3 linked regions of the Arabidopsis thaliana genome follow. The protein of the gene in region 1 purifies or fractionates together with the protein of each later gene. This does not show direct contact. Each region holds a gene or a part of one and is shown in the gene's direction. Other genes may lie near its edges.

What was found. The genes of interacting proteins can lie anywhere in the genome.
Region 2: the proteins of ELF4 (region 1) and TIC purify together in Arabidopsis thaliana (affinity purification with mass spectrometry, with the first as the bait; one study listed by BioGRID). This does not show direct contact.
Region 3: the proteins of ELF4 (region 1) and PHYE purify together in Arabidopsis thaliana (affinity purification with mass spectrometry, with the first as the bait; one study listed by BioGRID). This does not show direct contact.

The regions. Positions count from the first base shown.
Region 1 is NC_003071.7:16,733,762-16,736,459, reverse strand, and holds ELF4 (EARLY FLOWERING-like protein (DUF1313)), read left to right. Parts: upstream 1-1,547; 5' UTR 1,548-1,579; coding exon 1,580-1,915; 3' UTR 1,916-2,166; downstream 2,167-2,698. UniProt on the Arabidopsis thaliana protein: Component of the central CCA1/LHY-TOC1 feedback loop in the circadian clock that promotes clock accuracy and is required for sustained rhythms in the absence of daily light/dark cycles.
Region 2 is NC_003074.8:7,911,355-7,918,929, forward strand, and holds the start of TIC (time for coffee), read left to right. Parts: upstream 1-1,550; 5' UTR 1,551-1,826; coding exon 1,827-1,926; intron 1,927-2,017; coding exon 2,018-2,557; intron 2,558-2,648; coding exon 2,649-2,848; intron 2,849-2,923; coding exon 2,924-3,218; intron 3,219-3,309; coding exon 3,310-3,613; intron 3,614-3,698; coding exon 3,699-3,738; intron 3,739-3,821; coding exon 3,822-3,917; intron 3,918-4,076; coding exon of another isoform or gene 4,077-4,079; coding exon 4,080-4,302; intron 4,303-4,407; coding exon 4,408-4,474; intron 4,475-4,568; coding exon 4,569-4,635; intron 4,636-4,717; coding exon 4,718-5,047; intron 5,048-5,134; coding exon 5,135-7,517; coding exon of another isoform or gene 7,518-7,525; exon of another isoform or gene 7,526-7,575. UniProt on the Arabidopsis thaliana protein: Regulator of normal clock function. Acts in the mid to late night. Contributes to the amplitude of circadian clocks. May act on the transcriptional induction of LATE ELONGATED HYPOCOTYL (LHY).
Region 3 is NC_003075.7:10,041,612-10,048,263, reverse strand, and holds PHYE (phytochrome E), read left to right. Parts: upstream 1-1,917; 5' UTR 1,918-2,315; coding exon 2,316-4,308; intron 4,309-4,415; coding exon 4,416-5,223; intron 5,224-5,308; coding exon 5,309-5,602; intron 5,603-5,708; coding exon 5,709-5,952; 3' UTR 5,953-6,127; downstream 6,128-6,652. Other genes in the region: SSP4b (SCP1-like small phosphatase 4b), read left to right, coding at 1-208, 288-625, 795-939, 1,518-1,546. UniProt on the Arabidopsis thaliana protein: Regulatory photoreceptor which exists in two forms that are reversibly interconvertible by light: the Pr form that absorbs maximally in the red region of the spectrum and the Pfr form that absorbs maximally in the far-red region.

The DNA.
Region 1 (2,698 bases):
TCATGATTTCCTGCGGTAATTATCTTTATCACTCTAAATCATCAAAGCCAACCCTTAACAGATCAATAAGTCTACTAAAAGAGAAATTACAAGTTTTTTTGAAGGAAGAATCAAACACATTCCACATAACATATAATATGCAGTTGTCTATCGTAAATGTTTTACCTTGACAATGGTTTTCGCAAGTAACGCATAATGGTCGAGAAACATTACATTTGCGACGAATTTGAACCTTATTCCCATATATCTCGAGAAGGTGACATTGCTTCATTTATGGGTATTCACCAAATAAGCATTCAATATGAATGGTAGTAATAAAGATTACCACTCGTACTTCTATGAACTTGGATTCAAGTTAGAGCCATTGTGAGTCCACTTCTGAATCTTTCCACTTACCAACCCATTTAGATGTTGCAGAATTACCATTTCTATTGGTTTTCCTATCTGCTTCTTTATCTTTGAGAAGCCAGCTTAAGTTTTAGCGCATTTAGCTCTTATTGCAAGATTGCATTGTGTCATAAAAGGTCGTTCTAAGTAAAATCTGGCACATGTTTTTCCAGTTAGTGGATTCATTTGTGAAACAGTTTGGAAAATGTTGCGGTTAAGAACTGTATTGCCAAAAATAAATTAAATGTTTTTCATCATTACTCATTGGTGACTGAAATGAATTGAGGTCCCTATACTCTTATTGCTTCTCAGCATCGAGTTGTTTGTGCATCACCATTGTCATGACTCATGATTTTTAGAATCATTTATGCAATTCATCATCTTAATCATTATCATTATAGGATGATTGTATCATATATAACAGTCGAAAGGGAAGGGCCAAAAAAAGTGAAATAAAGTTTTGTTCTTTGTAATGGAAGAAAAAGTTGGGAGGAGAATCATGGTTTCACTATGGTTCTTTGGAATTTTGATTTTGGTAGTTAGTGCCCAGGTTCCGGGAACCAAATTCTGATCATACTACAAAAAAATATCTTGCGGATTATTGTAGCTCTTGTCTTGCATAACATGAAGCTTGGAATTAACTAAAGAAAGTTTCTTAGAGATTCTTCTTCTTGTTTGTTCTCTAAAGAATCTAACACTCTTTGTAATGTTTATCTAAACTTGGAACTAATTAGATGTGAAACACTACAATTCATTAAACATGAGATCATGCGTATAGGAATTTGGTTCCTGCTGCACCGTGGCAAGTCGTACACCATATACCTTTTTCCCTATTTTATTCATATTTTACTTTATATTCACTTTACAATAAATATCTTTAGATATTTCTACAATAAGATCCTTATCTCTCTCCATGGTTTAATTAAAAATAAATCCAAGAAAAGTGCATAAAAAGATATGTACTTTTTATTCCTCTACCCAATCACTTCACAGCTTCACTCACGCGCGTGTTCTTTGATATCAGATAGATACGTCTACGTGAGATACACGCTCTTGTTAATCAAGTGGTGATGAAACAGAACTTACTCGCCTCGGTGTCCGATTCTACTCAGAAGATATTTACTATAAATATCTGATTTCTCTCGACTTTGACGAAAATCAAAAAGAGAGAAAAACACAATTAAAAATTATTATGAAGAGGAACGGCGAGACGAAACGGCGGAGGAACGTGGCGGAGGAGGCAGAGCAGGGAGAGGATCCGGCGATGTGGGAGAATCTTGACCGGAATTTCAGACAAGTGCAATCAGTTTTAGACAGAAACAGATCACTGATTCAACAAGTCAACGACAATCACCAATCGAGAATGGCTGATAACATGTCGAAGAACGTTGCTTTGATTCAAGAACTCAACGGAAACATTTCCAAGGTTGTTAACATGTATTCTGATCTCAATACTAGTTTCTCGTCGGGCTTTCACGGTGGGAAGAACGGTCACGATGGTGGTGGTGCTGCCGGAACTAGAGCTTAATGAACCGGAATCAAATTGTTTCTTCTTAGTTGGACCGGCCGGTTTGAGAATTTTGAATCTGTCCGGTTCAAGCTATGATATAAAGTAAATGTTTAGTTTTTGTATTGCAATGATGATTGTCGTTAGAATAATCCGTGGGAGCAAACCCATCTCTATTGGGGTTATTTTAGTTATGGTTTTGAGTCTTTTTCAATGTGTCTCTACTGCAATCTCTCTAATGATTATAATAATAATTGATACAGTATTAGATTACTTCTGGTTTGATTCTATTTAGAGACTTTTCTCATGTGACCTTGATAATAAATGAAGGCTTGTGGTTAGATTGTTGCAACTTGGAGTAAGTAATTTCGTCACATAGTGATGCAATTTGGTATGACATGTTAAATACAGTTGTTTTCTAGTGACTTTTCACTAGGCTGTGTATTAGAGAACTCTAGCATAGAAAATTTCTACGTTGTGACAATATTCATTTCCATCAAAAAGCAAACAGAAACTGCAGTAAAATAAATGTTGATACATGAGATCATGATCTAAAACCCAGGCAAACTATTTCGGCATTCATATACCACTAGAAAGCAAAGATCTTAAGAAGACGAAAGAGCTTTTGCACAAAAAGGACTAAAAAGAAGCATAGTTATTTGAAAGGGGACAAATGGCCAATTTCATATCAAAACATGAACTATCAAACCTATAAGTTTTTTTTGGGATTAAAATGGCATATGAAGAGGTTTAAAGTGATTAGCTCTGCTGTGACTGAGTAAATTTATGATTTCACTACTTTTT
Region 2 (7,575 bases), on another chromosome or scaffold:
GTTTAATCTTTTCTAAATCGAACGGTTCAGATCAACGGGTCGGGTGCCAACTCAACGCCTTTTTTAGTTTTTATTTTATTTTATGTTTTTTTTTTGGATGATGTTTTCTTCTGCCAAGTCAGATTGTTTAAAAACCAAAAATAGAAGAAAATAAAATACTAATATAATATAAAACGATCTAACGGTTGTGAGAGCATTTAGCTAATTGGCAACAAATGGTATTGGCCGTTGATTTGTAATTAATGAGTTAAATTATTTTAGACTATGGTAGGACCTGTTTCCTTACTTTATAGGTTTATTGTTTAGCTTACCTTCCCTAATAGAATTAAAAAAATCTAAAGGATATTATATGGTTTATTACTATTTTAGAAATATCCAAATATGACCAGATTTAATTAGTTTTATAGAAATTTATAGTTATGTCAATTTGACTAATCTAACCTAGGAATTATCAAGATTTAATTTCTCTTTTAGATTTTTTCATTATAAATTAAGAATGTTGATAAATTAGTAATTAAAAATGTGGTAGATACTTCCAATATTATTCTCCATATATTTTCATTTTTAATTATTAGATTCTAAGAATTTAAAAGATCAATTTTGCAAACCTGGCATATTTGAAAAGGTAAATTTAATTTAACAGCTTTTATTGCATGCACGTAAGAAATATCAAATAAATCAATAAGAAGGAAAGTAAATATTTGAATATTTATTTTCCATGAGTTGAAGAAAAAAAAATAGTTAGTGGCAAGTAAAAAACTATTTAGCCATTTGATCTTAATGGAGAAAAGTAAAAAAAAAAAAGATGAAGGTAGAGAAGTGGAACCTGATGTGATTAATATTACCGGTTGGATCGGTTTGTATAGGTGGTCACAAAGATTCCATTCTGATCGTAGATTGCCTTTACCAAGGTCTCTGTCTACCGGTAATAGCCGGTGATACATCTTCTCAAGACACATTTTGAATTTTAATAATTAAAATAACATCATATTTGTGCGTGTATATGTCAGTATTTTTGTTTTCTTTTCACACGAGTCATCGCGATTAGTGGACAACAGTACACTACCCCAGGAGCCTTTTTATTGCACAATATACTATTGATGATTATTTTTAGATTTAAATATTATTATCTTAATCTTTCCGACTTTCAATATATTTTATTGTTTTTTTATTTGTTTGTTTATTTCTAGACAGTGCAAAGTCAATAAAATATTGGTAGCGATAATATAGACGGAAGCGTGTGATGTCAAACTCTTGACACGTGGCAGCTTCTGTTTAATAACTGGTAACAGTCCAAAATAATTTTTTCACATGAATCCGACTCCGAAAATAATATTCTTTTAAAACCGAAAAATTAAATGTTATCAAATACTAAAATATCATAACAATAAGATATCATTTTTGAGTGGGTCCTACCTACGGATGCTGACTAATAAAATAATTAAAGAATACGTTTTTTAATTTAATAATAAAATAATAATCGGTGGTAAAATAATTAATAAAAGAAGAAATATCGGTTATTTATTATTATATGCGAGATCTCTTATAACGGAGGGCCAAGATTTTGTCACGCTGGTATATAGCGTATCGTGACCGTTGGATGTATTCACACCGACGGTGAAGATTGAGAAAATGTTTTACGGCAGGAGATATGAGCCGTGGATTTATTCGCTACTCTGCTTTTATGAGGAGCACAAATAAAGGAGATAATGGGAAGCAAGTAGAGAGATAGAGGAGAGAGAGTTTGATAAAGAGAGAGAAAAAGGGGTTGCGATTTGGGAGAAGAGAAATAGAGAGGAGAAGCATTAGAGAAGAAGAAGAAGAAGATGGATAGAAATAGAGAAGCTAGAAGAGTACCTATGGCGGCTGCCGGAAATGGTCTTTCCCGGCGGAGACATAGAGCCGGAAGTTTCAGAGATTCACCAGGTTTGTTTTTGAATCTCTTGATTTGGTTTGTTTTTCATCAGATCTGAGAGAAAACGTTTGGTTCTGATTTTTCTGAACGTTTTTTTCACAGAGGAGGAAGGTCCGGTGGAGTTACCGGAGGCGGCGAGGTTGAGAGATCGAGGAGGGAGTAATAAGAAGGATCGAGATCGGGAACGTGATAGAGACAGAGAGAGGGAAAGAGAAAGAGATAGGGAGAGAGATCGGTTAAATAGCCGGAGTAAACGGCGGAGAGGAGAACGCTTAATGATGGTTCACGGTAATCTAGACGACGGTGGCGACGATAGCTCGGAAGAGAGTGTCAACGACGATGAAGAATATGACGACGGAGGTGTAGGACCACCTTCTTCGTTGAAGATGCTTCCTCCGACGAGCAATAATATCTCAGCTGCATCGTTTTCATCGTCTCTATCAAATCATCACAACGGAGGTAGCGGTAATCTCCATCACCACCATCACAGCCACAACAATAACCATCAGAGGAAGAATAATTTTCCGCCGACGAAAGTTTTCAGATCGTCTCCTTCTCCGGCGCCGGTATCACCTCTTGTCTCGACGTGGAAAGCCGCCGACGAGATGATCGGTGTTTCGGTTCCTAGAAAAGCTCGGTCAGGTAGAGAGGTGGAAATTTACATTTGTAAACATATCTCTCGCTGATCTATCTCGATTCACAGTTCTTCTAATCTCTTCTTCGATTTTTGCAGCGTGTACGAAGAGACCTCATGAATCATGGGCGTCAAGTACTACCGGAGGTGGTGTTTTTGCTTCCGGTGAACAAATCCATCGGCAAATATCATCAACGTCTCCAGCTAATAGAGTTAGTCCGGCTTCGATTTTAGCATCTCCGTCTCCTCCTGCTCCTACGTCTCCTTCTTCATCAAGCATTTCCGTCAGGAAAAAATTGGTTAGTCTCTCAAAATTTACACTCAAATCTCTCCATCTCCATCTTCTTCTTTGACTAATATATTTTTGCTTCTAGCCGTCGGGGACGAAACAGAAGCCGTTACCGCCGAAGTCATCATCGAGTAAGTTATCATCGCCAGTGGCTGTACAAGACGAGATCGAGATCGAGATTGCAGAAGTGTTGTATGGTATGATGAGGATGCCTTCCACATCAAAACAAGAAGCAGCCGGTAACGATTTGACGGAGGCAGCGAAATCAACTGTAGAAGTCAAATCTCGAGTCTCTTCACCGATCTCAAATCCTCAGACTCTTCCTCAATCATCTATCACACTAGCTGCAAATTCTAGCTCCTCTAATGTTTCAGCCATCGGTAACATCCTCTCTCCATTCACAAATCGGAACGACTATTTTTGTTTTTTTTTTTCTTTTTTGCTCACTTTGTTTTACCATTTTCGCTTCAGCTCCTAAGAGAAAGAAGCCGAGACATGTCAAGTACGAAGACGATAACAGTTCACGCGTCACTACAATCAAATCCGAAGCCGAAGCTCCTTCAAAAAGTCAAGTTCCGTTCAGTAATCAACTAAAGAGCTCAGGATCCGGCGAAGGAAACAGCTCCGTATTGGATTCTATCATACCACTGACGAGAGAAAGCAACGCTTCGTTAGATTCGGAGAAAAAAGAGAACAATCTGTCAAAAGACGAAACAATATTGCCGAAAGTGGAATCTTCTTCAGGATTTAGATCCGATGGTGAAGGAGCTAAATCGTAAGCATTCAATCTATACATTCATTTTTTCTGGATTTTTTACCCAAGTTTTGGTACTGAATGTTTTTTGTTTTTAATCATGCAGGAGTTCGCCGGAAAAAGAGAAGTTTGAGATAGATCTGATGGTAAGTGTCAATAACATATATATTTTATTTTATTTTCCTTTTTTTTTGAAGTTCCGTACTAAATTAATTGTCCGTCGGTTCAGGCGCCACCGCCGGTGAGATCGTCGTCGGAGAGAGGCGGAGAGATGATGGAATGTGTGGCGGCAGAAGCTAAACCTAAAGTCACGGAAGTGGAAACGGTGAGTGGGGCCTACTTTTGTTTGGTAATATTGTGATAATTGGGGATATCCATCATTACTTTTTCATTTTTGCTTTTTTTGGCTCTCTTTTTCTTATCTTCATCTTTTTGGCTCCCTCTTTTTTTTAATTCTCTCCTGTGTCCACACTAATGCATGTAGCAGGAAGCAAAGCCTCTGCTTAAGGAAGATAGAAGTGATCCGGCGATTCATGATTCTCAGGAGAAGAAGAGACCTAGAATGGTTGCTGAAGCTGAACACCATAAGTTTGAGAGGAATTGTGAACTCAAACTCGACTTGGATAAATCTGATCATGTGGGTTTAGTAAACAAGCATCATGTTCAGAAACCGCCACCGCAACAGCAACTATCTGTTCCTGATAAAACTGGTAGGCCTTTTTCATCTTTCTTGAGATTCATTCTTCTTACTCTGACTGGACTAGTTTCGTTTTTTGTATACTGAATTAACTGGGCCTCTTTTTAAAAAATTCCAGCTCAAGCTAGCCATTTGCCTCTGCATATGTCTATGCCTGGCTGGCCTGGGGGCCTTCCTACAATGGGGTATGTTTTCTTTGTAATTTAAGCATGTGATACTTTTCCTAAGTCTCCTTTTTATTTTTTGGTTGTACTAATGTAAAACTCTGTGATTAAACAGATACATGGCACCTACACAAGGAGTTGTGCCTACGGATACCAGTTCCTTATCAGCTGCAGCAATGCAGGTAATTTTGATTGGATGTGCCATTCTAATATTTCTCTTTATATTTTTTTGCCTTTACTGATTTAAATTTTGGTCTTGTGCAGCCTCCACCTCATTTACTTTTTAATCAACCAAGGCCGAAGCGATGTGCTACACACTGCTACATTGCTCGGAATATTCAATCTCATCAGCAATTCACAAAGATGAATCCTTTCTGGCCTGCAGCAGCAGGCTCAGCTCCAATGTATGGGACCAAGGCCTGCAATCTCAGTCTTATGCCTCCCACAGAACTTCAGGGGAGTGTTTTGGGAAGAAGTTCCAACCCTGTTCAAGATAAGAATTCTCAATCTACGTCCAAAAGCTCAGAGACAGCTCAAAGAAATCAATTAATGCTTCAACAAGCTTTGCCTCCAGGAGCAGCTAATAGCATCTTGGTTAGTTTTTTTAGTCCATGTATCATGTTTCTCATCAGGTTTTGTCGTCCTTCTTATAAGCTGATTGTTTTTTTACTTTCATTGTAGCATGGTCCGACATTCATATTCCCCTTGGGCCAACAGCCTCACGCTGCCGCTACAATAGCTGCCGCATCTGTCAGACCTCCTAATAGTGGCATCACATCTTCTGGACCAACAGCTACTTCTACCTCCATGAATGGTTCTGCATCAGCTACTCCAGCTGGTGCCCCAACAATGAGCTTCAGTTATCCTGCCATGCCGGGAAATGAAACGCAGTACCTGGCCATTTTGCAGAATAACGGCTATCCATTTCCAGTTCCAGCACATGTTGGTGCACAACCTGCTTATAGAGGTGCTCCTGGGCAGCCGATGCCATTTTTTAATGGTTCATTCTATTCCTCCCAAATGATCCAGCCTCCACATCATCAGCCACAAAAGCAGCATCAGCAGCAGCTAACTGGTCAAATGCTCCAGAGCCATGCTCCTAACAACCAGAATGGGAGTGCTTCCACTGGTTCCTCAGCAGCTCAAAAGCATCTGCAGAACCAACAGTTGAGGCCACCGATTAATCATGGGAACTCTCAAGGATTTCCAACTCATAAAGTGCAATCGCAGCCTTTGAATTTTCAGCAGAGGCAGCAACCCAGAGAAAATGCTACTCAACATAGTGAGACTGTAGGGGAAGATAGCCCATCAACTGCTGATAGCCGGGGTTCTCGTTCCAATGTTGCCTATGGCCAGAACTATGGTATGCAAATGCAACCAACTAACTTGGGTTTGATGAGTTCCCCTGCCCCTGGTGGTGGGGTGGTTGGATCTTCGAGCAGTCATGGTGAAAAGAAATCACAGCAGCAGGTTTCAAAGGCTGGTGTAGAATCCTTCCAGTCACCGGGTTATGCTATGACTTTTGCGACGTTCAATGGGGCTAACACTGCTCCTACCCTAAACATGTCATCAATTGCTCAGAATCACGCTATGTTCCACAGCATGCCCGAAGCAGCAAGGCAAGGTTATCAGATGATGGCTGCTCAAGCAGCTCAACAAAAAATGAACTACGGTGCTTCACTAGAAGATGGAAAATCTGGGTCTATTGGTGGTGCTGCTACTGCTAATAATACCCCTGAGGAACAAAGGAAGTCAGGAGGAGGGGCAATAGGGAAAACGAGTGGTGGGAATGGTGGGCAGTCTATTGCTTTCTCTAACAAACAGGATTTAGCTGATGCATCTGTTTCTGCTGTCACGAGTGGTAGCATCGTTGATAGCTCATCCCGTTTACTCAACCTTGGTTCTGCTCTGCCACAGAGTTCGGGTTCTTTACCCACGTCTCATCATCAACAACTACTACAACAACAGCAGCAACAGCATATGCAACGGAGTCAATCGCAGCAACCTTATACCACCATGTACCTCCAGAAGCAGCAACGGTATGCAACTTCAGTGGCTGCTTCTGCTGCCAGAACCAAAGGGCCCGTGGTGAGTAACGGGAGTGGTTTCCCTGATCACAATATGACCACATCACCTGCGGGAACCACCAAGTTTGCAAATGCTAATTCAGGGTTCCCTCAAAACCTTGTCCAGTCGAGTAGCAATCAGGTTCAGTCTCAGCAGTGGAAAAACAATTCACCCAGGACAACAAATACTACCCAAGCTCAGTCTCCTTCGATGTTGTCGCCATCAACATCAGTTGCTGCTGCATCTTCGCTAAGAAACATCCCGCATAAACAGCAAAGCCGTCCCCAGCAATCGCAGATATCTTTTGCAGCAAACTCAAAACCAATGACTTCTGGTTCACCAATGCAGCAGGTACAAGGAGGAACCAACCACCAGGCTCCGTCTCCACCAATGTTAGTTGGGTCGCCTTCGACGTCGTCTGTCTCCAAAAATGCCAGCGGAAGCCCAAGAACAACTGCTTCTGCTTCCTCGGCGGCAAACAAAGGTGGACAAGCTTCCACAACTACTCACTCAGCATCTCAGCCGTCCAAGAACTTACAGCCTGCATCTGCGGCGTCATCTGCTGGTGGAAGGAATAATGGTCCTTCTGTTCTCGGAAACCCGACCACGAGCTCTGGATCCAAGTCGCAACAACAGCAGCAGTTGCCAAAGCATGGGCTGCAGCCGCAAGCACAGCTATTCTTCTCTAATCCTTATATGCAAGCTCAACATCAACATCAACAGCAACAGATCACCATATCTCCTTCTGGTGGGTATTACATCCAAAGACACCAGCAACAGTCAGGTTCAGCACCTGCTGTTCCAGTCACGGGAGCTGTCACCGCCACTTCAGATCCAGCGAAAGCCATAGCGGCTGCATCTGCAGCGAATAACATGAAAGGAGGTGGTGGTATGGGTAAAACTCAACAACATCAGCTTGGGCCTCCAGGGTTCACTAATGTTCACGCTGTTTCCTCTGCGGTTCAGGTCAAACCCGTGGATCAGAAGCAACAGGCGGGTGAGTGAAAGATCTTTAAAACTATTTTGTTTAGCATAAAAGACTCTGAATGGTTGGG
Region 3 (6,652 bases), on another chromosome or scaffold:
GATAACAGGATTAATCGGTCAAGATCAAAAAACTTGGAAGCAGCAGAGAATCACACTGAAGCTGAACAAACTGAAGATTTTGATCCACAGATTTTCTTAAGAAATCAACCAGAATTAGCTGATGTGGTATTCAATTATTTCCCGGATATGCAGCAGCCTAGGGACTCTCCGAAAAGGAAGGCGGTAACCCTTGTTCTTGATTTGGATGGTATGATATGAACCACTTGGTTAAGTTTTGCCTCCATGGTACAACCACACTTACTAATCATCTTTAAATGACATTGCAGAAACTCTGGTCCATTCGACTCTGGAAGTCTGTAGAGATACAGACTTTTCCTTCAGAGTCACTTTCAATATGCAAGAGAACACTGTTTACGTGAAACAAAGACCATACCTTTATAGGTTCTTAGAGAGGGTGGTTGAACTTTTTCATGTTGTCATCTTCACGGCTAGTCACAGCATCTATGCGTCTCAGCTTCTAGATATATTGGATCCAGATGGGAAGTTTGTATCGCAACGTTTTTACCGGGATTCATGCATTCTTTCAGATGGTATTTATACCAAGGATTTAACCGTTTTGGGTCTTGATCTAGCAAAAGTGGCTATAGTTGACAACTGTCCACAGGTATTTTCTAAAGGATTCACTTCACTACCTTTGTTTCATTAATTTTTGCTTTTACCTTAGTCTCAGTGATAGACACCACAAGCAAATCGAATTTCAAAGAACGATAGTTACAGTGCAGAATTTGTAGTTTAGTTGAGTATTACATGGACCCTCATTGTTCTTGTTTCAGGTGTACAGATTGCAAATAAACAATGGGATCCCTATTAAAAGTTGGTATGATGATCCAACTGATGATGGTCTGATTACATTACTTCCCTTCTTAGAGACATTGGCTGATGCCAACGATGTTCGTCCTGTCATTGCCAAGAGATTCGGTAACAAGGAATAAGAAATCTCTTCCTTTTGTTTCCACTATATCTTGATTGCAGATTCTGGGTTTCTTTAACAGATTTAGTCATAGACTAGTTTAGTTCCTCAAGACTTCTTAGGTGCTATTTAATTAGTGAACCATAGAATAATGCTCGGTGATATTAGTACACAAGTAAAGCGTAACCCTTGTTTTAGCCAGGATAATAGATCATTGAAATCTTAAGTGTTCTAAATGTACAGTTGGTGAAGCTGAGATACTGAATGTATAAAAGTGAGTAACTATTGAGTGAAATATCAGTTTTGGAGGTTAACAACAGCCATTATCTCCTTGTGGTAAATTCAAACTGTTGGTTAGATCTTTGTACTACTGCATTGTCAGTAATATAAATGAAGAGAGGTTCAATCTGGAACCTTCTTTTTCGTGAATTTATCGAATTTTCTAGCTTCTGTGGTCTTTCATAAAGGAGGAATATCGTATATGGGCGCCCGGATCTGGTGGTTCTGTGGTATTATAATAAGCTATTTAATCTATAACTCTCAGTAAAAGTTTCATGATTCTGTTGGCATGGTCCTTATTGTGCAGATCATTCAACAAGAAGTTCTTTTGATTAGGCGTAAGGAAGTGACCTGACTATTGTTCTTCTCTGTGTTAACTTGACTCTTAAGGTTTTGTCTAAGGTCTTAAGCTCCCTGACAAACTTGCCAATATGTACATCTTTACAATGTTAACTTGTTTTCATTAACATTTGATAGTCATATATTCTTGTTACTAGTTAATAAACCTGTCAGAAGAATCATATTTTCTAACATTGGTTCTTATGAACCAAGAAAGTCATTGATTTCTTACATAACATCAGTCGTTTAGATGCTTTGGAGATTGCTTTTGGTAACTCTCGACTAAACATAGTTTCAAATTTGGCTCAAAAGAAACTTTGTTTTTTTTTCAGAAGTATGAGGACATTATCAAAGTTGAAAGTTTTGACCAAAATATGTTGAAATTTTGAAGGTCTATTAAATTTGAGAAAGACATTAGCCATTTCTTCAATAGATTCAGAGTAACAAAAAAATACTTATTCCATGGAACTTTTTTATTCACAAAAATAAAGCAATTTAAGAAAAGGGAAAAAAAATGAAAGTGAATCGGTGGTGGTCACCGAACAAGCTGTACGTGTGGGAGAGAATGCAAACAGAGTAGCAAAAAAAAAGCATTGAAGGAAGCAAAACAAAACATGAAAAGAAGAATCTTGAGGTAAAAACGAATCCCAAATATCAAAAAGGAAACTTTTTTTACTTCTTTCTTTCTCTTGCTGCAAATGATACAGAATCAGCTTCTTCTTCTTCTTCTTCTGGTCGAAACTCACTCCACACTTTCCCCTAAGCTATGGGATTCGAGAGTTCAAGCTCAGCTGCAAGCAACATGAAACCTCAACCTCAAAAATCCAACACTGCTCAATACTCTGTTGATGCTGCTCTCTTTGCTGATTTCGCTCAATCCATTTACACCGGCAAGTCTTTTAACTACTCCAAATCTGTTATTTCACCTCCCAATCACGTTCCTGATGAACACATCACAGCTTACTTGTCTAACATCCAAAGAGGCGGTCTAGTTCAGCCCTTTGGTTGTTTGATTGCTGTCGAAGAACCTAGTTTTAGGATACTTGGTCTTAGTGACAACTCTTCTGACTTTCTTGGTTTGTTGTCTCTTCCTTCCACCTCCCATTCTGGTGAGTTTGATAAAGTCAAGGGTTTGATTGGAATCGATGCAAGGACGCTTTTTACTCCTTCCTCTGGAGCTTCTTTGTCTAAAGCTGCTTCCTTTACTGAGATTTCCTTGTTGAATCCTGTTTTGGTCCATTCTAGGACGACCCAGAAGCCTTTTTATGCTATTCTTCACAGGATTGATGCAGGGATTGTCATGGATTTGGAGCCTGCTAAATCAGGTGATCCGGCTTTGACCCTTGCAGGCGCAGTTCAGTCTCAGAAGCTAGCCGTTAGGGCCATTTCTAGGCTGCAGTCACTTCCCGGAGGAGATATTGGTGCCTTGTGTGATACTGTTGTGGAAGATGTTCAGAGACTTACCGGTTATGACCGTGTTATGGTCTATCAGTTTCATGAAGATGATCATGGTGAAGTTGTTTCTGAGATTAGAAGGTCTGATTTGGAGCCTTATTTGGGTTTACATTATCCGGCAACAGATATTCCTCAGGCTGCTCGGTTCTTGTTCAAACAGAACCGTGTCCGAATGATTTGTGACTGCAATGCAACTCCGGTTAAGGTTGTTCAGAGTGAGGAACTCAAGAGACCACTTTGTTTAGTTAATTCTACTCTAAGAGCTCCTCATGGCTGCCATACGCAGTATATGGCGAATATGGGCTCTGTAGCTTCTCTTGCACTCGCAATTGTAGTAAAAGGCAAAGATTCGAGCAAGCTTTGGGGATTAGTTGTTGGTCATCATTGTTCTCCTAGATACGTTCCATTCCCGTTGCGGTATGCTTGTGAGTTTCTGATGCAAGCATTTGGGCTTCAGCTTCAAATGGAACTTCAGTTAGCATCACAGTTAGCCGAGAAGAAGGCTATGCGGACGCAGACCTTGTTGTGCGATATGCTTCTCCGTGATACTGTTTCCGCTATTGTTACACAATCTCCGGGTATTATGGACCTTGTGAAATGTGATGGAGCTGCGTTATATTACAAGGGGAAATGTTGGTTGGTTGGTGTTACTCCTAATGAGTCACAAGTTAAAGACTTGGTGAATTGGCTGGTGGAGAATCACGGTGATGATTCGACGGGTTTAACCACTGATAGTTTGGTGGATGCGGGATACCCTGGTGCCATCTCACTTGGAGATGCCGTTTGTGGTGTGGCTGCCGCAGGATTTTCTTCAAAAGATTACTTACTTTGGTTCAGGTCCAATACTGCAAGTGCAATCAAATGGGGAGGAGCTAAACATCATCCAAAGGATAAAGATGATGCCGGAAGAATGCATCCGAGGTCATCGTTTACAGCCTTTCTTGAAGTTGCGAAGAGCAGGAGCTTGCCGTGGGAAATCTCAGAAATTGATGCTATCCATTCCCTGAGACTTATAATGAGAGAGTCATTTACCAGCTCTAGGCCAGTTTTGTCTGGTAATGGCGTAGCAAGAGATGCTAATGAGCTTACTTCTTTTGTGTGTGAAATGGTTAGGGTGATTGAAACCGCAACTGCACCTATTTTTGGGGTTGATTCATCCGGATGTATTAATGGTTGGAACAAGAAAACCGCTGAAATGACGGGATTACTAGCTAGTGAAGCAATGGGGAAGTCACTTGCCGATGAGATTGTTCAAGAGGAATCACGCGCAGCTCTTGAAAGTCTCTTGTGCAAAGCCCTACAAGGTTATATGAAAGAAGATTTTCTCCATACAAATTTCATGTTATGAGCTTTATCAACTAACAAAACAATGATATGTTGTGTTGTAACATTGATATGTTGTGTTGTTCAGGTGAAGAGGAGAAAAGTGTAATGCTGAAACTGAGAAAGTTTGGTCAAAACAATCATCCGGATTATTCTTCTGATGTGTGTGTTCTCGTTAACTCCTGCACGAGTCGGGATTATACTGAAAATATCATCGGTGTCTGCTTCGTTGGTCAAGACATCACTAGTGAGAAAGCAATAACAGATAGATTCATCAGATTGCAAGGAGATTACAAGACTATTGTTCAAAGCTTAAATCCTTTGATTCCACCGATATTTGCTTCAGATGAAAATGCTTGTTGTTCTGAGTGGAACGCAGCAATGGAAAAGCTTACGGGATGGTCAAAACACGAGGTGATTGGGAAAATGCTACCCGGTGAAGTCTTTGGAGTCTTTTGTAAAGTGAAATGCCAAGATTCGCTCACAAAGTTCTTGATCTCTCTGTACCAAGGAATTGCTGGTGATAATGTTCCCGAGAGTTCACTGGTTGAGTTCTTTAATAAGGAAGGGAAGTACATAGAAGCATCCTTAACCGCGAACAAGAGTACAAACATCGAAGGAAAAGTTATAAGATGTTTCTTCTTCTTGCAGATTATCAATAAGGAATCGGGGTTGAGCTGCCCAGAACTGAAAGAGAGCGCTCAAAGCCTCAACGAATTAACTTACGTAAGACAAGAAATCAAGAATCCTCTCAACGGTATCCGATTTGCACATAAGCTTCTTGAATCCTCAGAGATTTCAGCTAGCCAAAGGCAGTTTCTGGAGACTAGTGATGCTTGTGAGAAGCAAATCACGACAATAATCGAAAGCACGGACTTGAAAAGCATTGAGGAAGGGTAAAGCATAACGTTTTGAATCTTCACCTACTGAAGTTTTTACATTTTGAATCTGAAAAACAAATGTTTTCTTTTATGAGATCAGCAAGTTGCAATTGGAAACAGAAGAGTTTCGACTTGAAAACATCTTGGACACAATCATTAGCCAAGTGATGATTATATTGAGAGAGAGGAACTCACAACTAAGGGTTGAAGTCGCCGAGGAGATCAAAACTCTGCCTCTCAATGGTGACAGAGTCAAGCTCCAGCTTATTCTTGCTGATCTTCTACGCAACATTGTGAATCATGCGCCGTTTCCAAATAGTTGGGTAGGTATCAGTATCTCACCAGGGCAGGAGCTTTCACGTGACAATGGTCGCTATATCCATCTACAGTTCAGGTAAACGTCAACAGAAACAACTGAAAACAACTTCTTTTCACAATGCAGCCGTTTTGCAGATTTTGATGGTTTTTAACTTAAAACGTTCGATGTTGTTTTATGATAGGATGATACATCCGGGGAAAGGACTTCCTTCAGAGATGCTAAGTGATATGTTTGAGACTCGAGATGGATGGGTCACCCCTGATGGTTTAGGGCTTAAGCTTTCGCGGAAACTATTGGAGCAGATGAATGGCCGTGTGAGTTATGTCCGAGAAGACGAACGGTGTTTCTTTCAGGTGGATCTTCAAGTGAAGACAATGTTAGGTGTTGAGTCAAGAGGAACAGAGGGTAGTTCAAGCATAAAGTAGAAATTTTGAGTTACAAGGCTTATAAAATTTAATGAAATTTGGTCTCTTACCAAATGTATTAATTAGAACAAAGGTACATTATTTATTACCACCAATAAGATTGTATCTTAACTATCCTATGTATACAATTTGGAGAGATCATTTGGCCAACCAGACAAAAGTAAAACACAACCATCAATTCACATGTCTAGAACAATAATTCTTTCTAATTCTGGATACCAGCAAACTAGAAGGAACTGAGAAAACCAGAAATGTTTCTAAAGGGTACTATGTAGTAGTTTGTTGTTGTTCATCATCATCTCATCCTAGAAACTGATATTTACGTTTTAAACCAGAGGCAATAACGTGATTCACTTGACTGTCAGCTTTGATGTGTGTTCTCGCCGACAAGAGGATGAGAAACCGTTGAATTTGATGCCTCGAGCTGCGAATTCTCCCGGATGATCTAGTTTCAAATAGACATGTATGAGTCAACCAGTTCATCAGATAAACACAGAAAAGATAAATGATCATTTTAAGATCATGTGTTTGTTGTAAGAGATTGTTTACCGGATATTTAGATTCTGATCCATCAAAGACAATAGGTTGGCATCTCCTATCTTCATTCATCAAACTTGAGTTCTGAAAGTGAGCAATAAGCGCAGCTTTACCTTGGATTCGTGCATAAGCCAATGAAGCAACTTTCTCGCTGTTGAACTTA